2 linked regions of the Rattus norvegicus genome follow. The protein of the gene in region 2 interacts with the protein of the main gene of each other region in a pairwise test. Links are inferred from orthologs where the notes say so. Each region holds a gene or a part of one and is shown on either strand. Other genes may lie near its edges.

The links.
Region 1: the proteins of Erlin1 (region 2) and Agr3 interact in binary tests that used the Homo sapiens proteins (3 or more experiments, as listed by UniProt). The two-hybrid records come from large-scale screens. The link is inferred for Rattus norvegicus from reciprocal best matches to the Homo sapiens genes ERLIN1 and AGR3.

Annotation. Positions count from the first base shown.
Region 1 is NC_086024.1:58,369,896-58,373,628, forward strand, and holds the start of Agr3 (anterior gradient protein 3 precursor), read left to right. Parts: upstream 1-805; 5' UTR 806-911; intron 912-3,733. UniProt on the Homo sapiens protein: Required for calcium-mediated regulation of ciliary beat frequency and mucociliary clearance in the airway. Might be involved in the regulation of intracellular calcium in tracheal epithelial cells.
Region 2 is NC_086019.1:252,903,355-252,907,106, reverse strand, and holds the start of Erlin1 (erlin-1), read left to right. Parts: upstream 1-1,425; 5' UTR 1,426-1,514; exon of another isoform or gene 1,515-1,647; intron 1,648-1,795; 5' UTR 1,796-1,806; coding exon 1,807-1,919; intron 1,920-3,530; coding exon 3,531-3,612; intron 3,613-3,752. UniProt on the Homo sapiens protein: Component of the ERLIN1/ERLIN2 complex which mediates the endoplasmic reticulum-associated degradation (ERAD) of inositol 1,4,5-trisphosphate receptors (IP3Rs).

The DNA.
Region 1 (3,733 bases), on a different chromosome or scaffold from region 2:
CCCATTCCAGGACATCCTCATGGAGTTTGAACTGAGCTAGAAACATCTAACCTAAATATTCTAGAAGAAACTTCTAAGACTTGATGTCTCCAGTTGGCAAGTGTTAGAAAACGGACTGTGTCATCATACTAGAGGCTGGAGGGACAGATGGTATCGGGGAGCCCATCTGCTCACACCCTGTAGATCCCATTGTTCAACTTTGAGGAATTTCACTGCAAATCAGTGAGACACAGTTATTCTCTAGAACTAAATGAGATAAATTCACAGTATATAACAATATCTAAAACAAACAAGAAGGACTGCAGAAAATAACCAAATCATTATTTGGTTATCAAAATATTTTTAAAAAATTTAAAGCATCTCTCTCTCTTTGAGCGAAAAAGAAGGAAGGAAAGACAGAAACTCTGATCTCTTTAGCTCTTTATTATATTCCTGCAATCTGAGTCACCCTGAAGAATTTCTACTTTCTTTGTGTGTAATCCACAAAGCTTGCTGAACTCCCATTGGGAACAATGGAGTACACACGGTTTCTACATTCATCCCCTGCCCCCTTCCTCCCCCCACCCCCCGCCATTTTCTTTCCTTTTTCTTGCAGTGCTGAAACCTAGCCAAATGTCCACTTACCTTGGAAAGTGAAAGGTAGAGAGAGAAAAGCATAAAGAAGTCTTTAGTGTCATTTATAAAGACATGTGATCCTAATTTAGAGCGAGGAGCACGTTCTCCTCCAAAGCCTGAGAACTGGAAAGAAGCCAAGTTCTTTGGACAAGCCTCTGTTTGTGAGCACACAGGTGAGAGCGCTCTTGTTGCCATGCAGGTGAAGTTGTAGGTCAGGTGTGTGTCTATAAATCCACACCCCTTTGTAACGAGTGACACTCAAAGTACATTTCTAACAAGATCGCTGGGCCGCTCAGGTAAGCAGGCAAAACTTCCAGACTACTCACTGTTCAGTCTTTCAACCTCTGCTCTATTGAAACAATTAATTTTTTTCTATTTAAAAGTAAGACTCTTAGAAGCGTGAGATGTGAAATAATGCTATATTCCGTTGCTGCTACTGACTTGGCTTCCTGGGCTGGCTTCATGGTTTAACTCTCAATTCCTATTAATAATAGAGTAAGTTAAACTTATTTGATAATGATCTCGTTTTAAAAAAAAATCAGGCGCTAACAACAATGCTTCCTTGTATTTTTAAGGCTTTACTTGTTTTTTTTTTATTTCTTTAATTTATTTCATGTGCGCTGGTGTTTTGCCTGCATGTATGACTGTGTGTGGATGTCGGATCCCCCTGGAACTGACAGGTGTGATTTGCCATGTGGGCATTGGGAACTGAACCCAGGTCTTTTAGAAGAGCAGTCAGTACTCTTAACTACTGAGCCATCTCTCTCGCCCCTAAAGTTTTATTTTAAAATACAGAAGATTGCAATATTAAAGTAAGTGGTTTATGTTAAATTCCTTTTCAAAAGTACAAGCCTAGAGTTAGAGAGTGCTAATTGGCCAATGCTGTTAAAGCCTCCTGGTAGACAGCAGGGTTGGTGCTTCTTAAAAGAACCTAACCTAAGAACCTAAGAACAAGTAACCTAAGAACAAGTTCTTCCCAATGCCTGTCCCCTACATCTGGAACTTAAGGGTTCTCAACGAGACACACTCAGACCAAGGGAAGCGTCACTGAGTCCCGAACAACCGTAGACAAGCTATATTGTTTTGAATACAGTCAGTACAATTTTTGCAACATCTAACAAAAGTTTCTTAATTGAATATAAAAATGTGCTTGACAATAGTACATAGTTATGTAATAAATGCATAGATGCTAGAAATTAGAGATTATAAGGTTCATCCTCAACTGTGAACTTGACCTAAAATAACACGAATATTGAAGTTACACACCCTCTCCCTTTTCTTGATGTAGATTTTTATCTGTTCATCTCTGGTTCTAACATCAAGAATTTTCCAAATATTTTCTCCAGATTAACTTTCCCTAACTTTTCTTCAAAGATTATAAAAGAATCTGAAGTATTTTTGGACCTTCTCAAGGAAGATGAAGAGAAGATCTCTGGGATTTTTTATTATTATTATTATTATTATTATTATTATTATTATTATTATTATTTTCTGCCTATAGTTCAGTTATAGACCTTCCAGAAGCTGATAGGATTTTTTTCATCTTTATTAACTTGGGTATTTCTTATTTATATTTTGGTTGTTATTCCCTTTCCCAGTTTCCAGGCCAACATCCCTCTAACCCCTCCCCCTTCTCTTCTATATGGGTGTTCCCCTCCCCATCCTTCCCCCATTACTGCCCTCCCCCCAACAATCTAGTTCACTGGGGGTCAGTCTTAGCAGGACCCAGGGCTTCCCCTTCCACTGGTGCTCTTACTAGGATATTCATTGCTACCTATGAGGTCAGAGTCCAGGGTCAGTCCATGTATAGTCTTTAGGTAGTGGCTTAGTCCCTGGAAGCTCTGGTTGCTTGGCATTGTTGTACATATGGGGTCTCGAGCCCCTTCAAGCTCTTCCAGTTCTTTCTCTGATTCCTTCAACGGGGGTCCCATTCTCAGTTCAGTGGTTTACTGCTGGCATTCGCCTATGTATTTGCCATATTCTGGCTGTGTCTCTCAGGAGAGATCTACATCCGGCTCCTGTCAGCCTGCACTTCTTTGCTTCATCAATCTTGTCTTATTGGGTGGCTGTATATGTATGGGCCACATGTGGGGCAGGCTCTGAATGGGTATTCGTTCAGTCTCTGTTCTGAACTTTGCCTCCCTATTCCTTGCCAAGGGTATTCTTGTTCCCCTTTTAAAGAAGGAGTGAAGCATTCACATTTTGGTCATCCTTCTTGAGTTTCATGTGTTCTGTGTATCTAGGGTAATTCAAGCATTTGGGCTAATAGCCACTTATCAATGAGTGCATACCATGTGTGTTTTTCTGTGATTGGGTTACCTCACTCAGGATGATATTTTCCAGATCCAACCATTTGCCTACGAATTTCATAAAGTCATTGCTTTTGATAGCTGAGTAACATTCCATTGTGTAGATGTACCACATTTTCTGTATCCATTCCTCTGTTGAAGGGCATCTGGGTTCTTTCCAGCTTCTGGCTATTATAAATAAGGCTGCTATGAACATAGTGGAGCACGTGTCTTTGTTATATGTTGGGCATCTTTTGGGTATATGCCCAAGAGAGGTATAGCTGGGTCCTCAGGTAATGCAATGTCCAATTTTCTGAGGAACCTCCAGACTGATTTCCAGAATGGTTGTACCAGTCTGCAATCCCACCAACAATGGAGGAGTGTCCATCTTTCTCCACATCCTCGCCAGCATCTGCTGTCACCTGAGTTTTTGATCTTAGCCATTCTCACTGGTGTGAGGTGAAATCTCAGGGTTGTTTTGATTTGCATTTCCCTTATGACTAAAGATGTTGAACATTTCTTTAGGTGTTTCTCAGCCATTCGGCATTCCTCAGCTGTGAATTCTTTGTTTAGCTCTGAACCCCATTTTTAATAGGGTTATTTGTCTCTTTGTATATTTTGGATATAAGCCCTCTCTGATAGGACTTTCTTGTAGGTAATTTTTCAACATCACTACTGCAACTTGCATCCTGACTGAAGCTGACCCTCCCAAGTTGGCCTTGTTAGCCCAGGCTGTCCTGTTCCTTGTCCATTGCTTTCTTTTCATTGTCCAGGTCCGAGAATGACATTCTGAAATGTTTTATGACTTAATGAGCTATAAGAACTGAAAC
Region 2 (3,752 bases):
ACTCCTCCTTTCCTCCACTTCCCAGCTGGGGTTACAGGCATGTGCTACCATGATCCGCTTTTTTTTTTTTTTTTTTTGGCAGGGGAAGGGGACCGGAGGAGGTGAAAATAGCTAAATTGTAATATTAGTCTGCAACAGACAAGGTTCCATATATTCCTAAGTAATAAAAATCAAATGCATGATACAGGTTAGTGCATGTATTGAAGGGGTGTGGCTAGATTTGCTCTTACAAAGCCCTGAATTGATTTTCTTGCCTGTCATTTCCTTTGTTACTAGCATCATGACCTTGTGCCTGCTGTTGTTTATCTGTTTCCCAGCTTCCTGTCTCTCTTCACTCTCACCCAGTTACAGATACAACACCCCTTAAAGCACTACTTTCTGGTATTTTCCTACACCGGAGTTTGGTAATCCTTCCAACCTTGTTAACCCTGTCTTGTCTCTGTCCTTATTTCCTTTGTTCATACATCTCTAGGCTTTACCCTTTCCTTTATCGTTTTTGTTTTGTAATACATGAACCTGTTTCGTGTTTATCCCCTAAACCTTTTATGATAATTATTGTGTGTGTTGGTGTGTGATGTGCCCTTATGTGCTGTGTGAGATCTAGGCTGAAATGAAGTCCTCAGGATTGCCACAAACTCCTCTACCCACTGAGCCATCTCACCAGGTTCACGTAGTGTGGAATGTTAAAATACAGTGAGAAAAGGTTAAGAGCACTGGCTACTCTTCCAGAGGATCCTGGTTCAATTCCCAGCACCAATGTGGCAGTTCGCAACAGTCTAACTCCAGTTCCAGGGGGATTCAATGCCCTCTTGTGACTGCTGAGGGCACCAGACACACATGTAGTGACATATATGCAGGCATAACATCCATAAATGAAGTTGCTTTCTTGCCATTCATTTCTTCCATCAGCAGAAAAACGGGTCCCAGACTTTGTAAATCTGGTTCTAGCCTACCCTGCCATACAACTTCTTTCAACCATAGAAAATCAAGCATTCACTGTTCACTGTTTTGGCCTCCTGACGACAATCCCGATCCCCACATTCAACTTATGTTTATCATTCTGATCCTGTTTCTGGGTGGCTTTCAGAAAGCCCTCTGGTTTAGTGTTCTGGCACAAAATAAATATTCAACCCAAGTCTGAATGATTAATACTGGTCGAATAGCTTCCTCTTCGGAATCAAACCCTTCATTCCTTGAGACTGATCTGATCGTTTCCTTAGTGTACCTGTAGATCGCGCTTGCCAGTCTGACTAGGTCCGAACCACAAAAGCAAGAAGGAACAATTCCTACACTGAGGGGTTGGACCTGTGCACTAGCACTCCCAATCCCTATGCTGTGCGCGCGCCCGAGCCAATTTTGTCCCGCCCGCGCACCGTCTAGCGGGCGAGGGCTGCGTCGCGTGCGTCCCCGCGCAGCCGCAGTGTCGGACAGGTGGGCGGGGCCGGCTGTTGGCAGCAGTTGGCGGGGCCGGGTGGCGGCTGCACGTGCGGGCGGGGGCGATGCGTCACTGACCGGTGAGGCGAGGCTCAGGGGTCGCGGTTCTCCGGGTGCCTGAGACCAAGGCGGTTCTCAGTCGGGACCTTCTACTTGGGGAGCCAGGGAAGGGGTGTCACGACGTACGCCGAGCCGGGGGCGCCGGCACTAGGGGTTGGTGAGGGGAGCGCTAGCTGAGAGAAAGCCAGGGGCCGGAGCGCGGGGCTTCCCGCCTCAGCCCGCGACCGTACGCGGGCTCTTCACTGGGTGGGGGCTGGCCTGTCAGTCAAGGGACTGAGGTTCCTCTTCTCCCGGTGCTCAGGAGGAACAAGGATGAATATGACTCAAGCCCGGCTTCTGGTGGCTGCAGTGGTGGGGTTGGTGGCGATCCTCCTTTACGCCTCCATCCACAAGATCGAGGAAGGACACCTGGCCGTGTACTACAGGTGAGCGCCGCCCTGTGCAGCCAGCGATGGTTCTAGAGCACAGGGAAAGGGTCCAATGGTCACAGTGGAGTCTAGGAAGTTGCTCTTTTCCGCGGCGTCAGGGGAGCGCTTCCAGCCCTGGGAAGTGGTTTCATCCCAGCTGCTGGGAGCTAATCTTTGGCGGGGCACCTTTCTGGTATCAGGCAGTTTAGTGACAAGTTCATGCTGTGCAGAAGTGAAGACACCTTGGTGGGTACGGAAGTAGTCACTGCAACCCAGATGACTCCTTGTAGTCCGCACAACTGTACAGGTGTTTAGTTTGCCACTGTGGATGTTTTTCGGGATCTCTGGCCTTATTTATGACAGTTCTCCCAACTCTACGGTTTTTCTTCTTCATTAGAAACCTCCCATTGTCTGGTGGTTATGTCTCCCAAAGTCTTAATGACCACAACAGTATCCTATTCCTAAAGTTCAAGAGACAAAACCACATTTGCAGGCCACCTTTCTCACTTGTTTTTTCCAAGTCATGGTGAGGAAGAGTGTGGACTCAGTTGCTGTCCATTTGTTTTGGCATAGTTATTCTTCAGTATAAATTACCACCAGCTCCTTGTGATATAGACTGATAAGAGAAGCCAGTTTGCAGAGTTTACAGAGAATTTGGGATGGTGGTTAATTCTGAAGCAGATTTTTTAGTATTTCCATTATGTCCCCGAAACTGGTATTTCTACTTTTAGATCTGTCCAGAATCCTAGAAAATAGACAATTTCGGTGGTATGTCTTAACAGATGGAGTTCTAGCATAAGAAATGCCAGCCTGGACCACATTTCCATCCAGTCTGTCTTTGTCTTTCTGACAGAAAAACCACAAAGAGAACATATCAAGATACCATTCCAAAAAGATAGCTAATGGACATGAAATGGTTCATCTTTTTAATTATGACTTTCAAACCTTTTCGTATATTCAGAAAAGGGATCAGCGTTTTGTGAATTTACTATTTGTTGTGTAAAATAGGACTTTCTGTTGTATTTGCCTCTAATTGGCAGGGGATATTTTCATAGTTCACATATTTCAGAGTTTGATAAACAGACCCATCTCTCGGCTGTAATCTCACCCCTTCTGCTGTCTATCTTTCCACGCTAGGTTTTGTTTCTTTTATACAGAAACTATGTTCCCAGGACTTTACTCTCATGTATTGAAAGAACCATTAGCCTCAGAAAGTTTCTTCTTCCTCGAAAGTTTGTTTTTTCCTTATATAAACTTAGTGAATAATATATTGTTTTGACTTGTCTCTTGTTATGTGCAATTAAGGCACCTTAATTGAGAGTCATTAGAATTTTTTCCGTAAGTATTTATCGGAAAGCTAAAGACCGGAGAGGATCATTTGAACCCAAGAGCAGTGCTAGAGACCCAGAGGTGTGGTTGGTGAAGCTTATGAAACAGGGTGCAACATTGGCAGTGGACATGGACGAATTTTCACATTTTTAACGGTGATGGATGTTTTAAGTAGCCGTTGTTGAATAACTGTTGTGAGGGTAGTAGGTTAGTAACATGAGGAATATGGAATGTTTATTATAGCATTTTAAATTGAAAAGAGATCTTAACAGTTTTATCAACTGAAACATCTTTTTGCAGGGGAGGAGCTTTACTAACTAGCCCCAGTGGACCAGGCTATCATATCATGTTACCTTTCATTACAACATTCAGATCTGTGCAGGTGAGTGATTCCTAGGGATTCCAGATAGACAGGTGTGACAGGAGTTACCACGCTTATGGGTGGAGATGAATTTCCTTATTGCTTAAGCAAATGTTGGTATTTACTCAAATGTGGAGTGAAAGTTCATAGTACAACTGTCA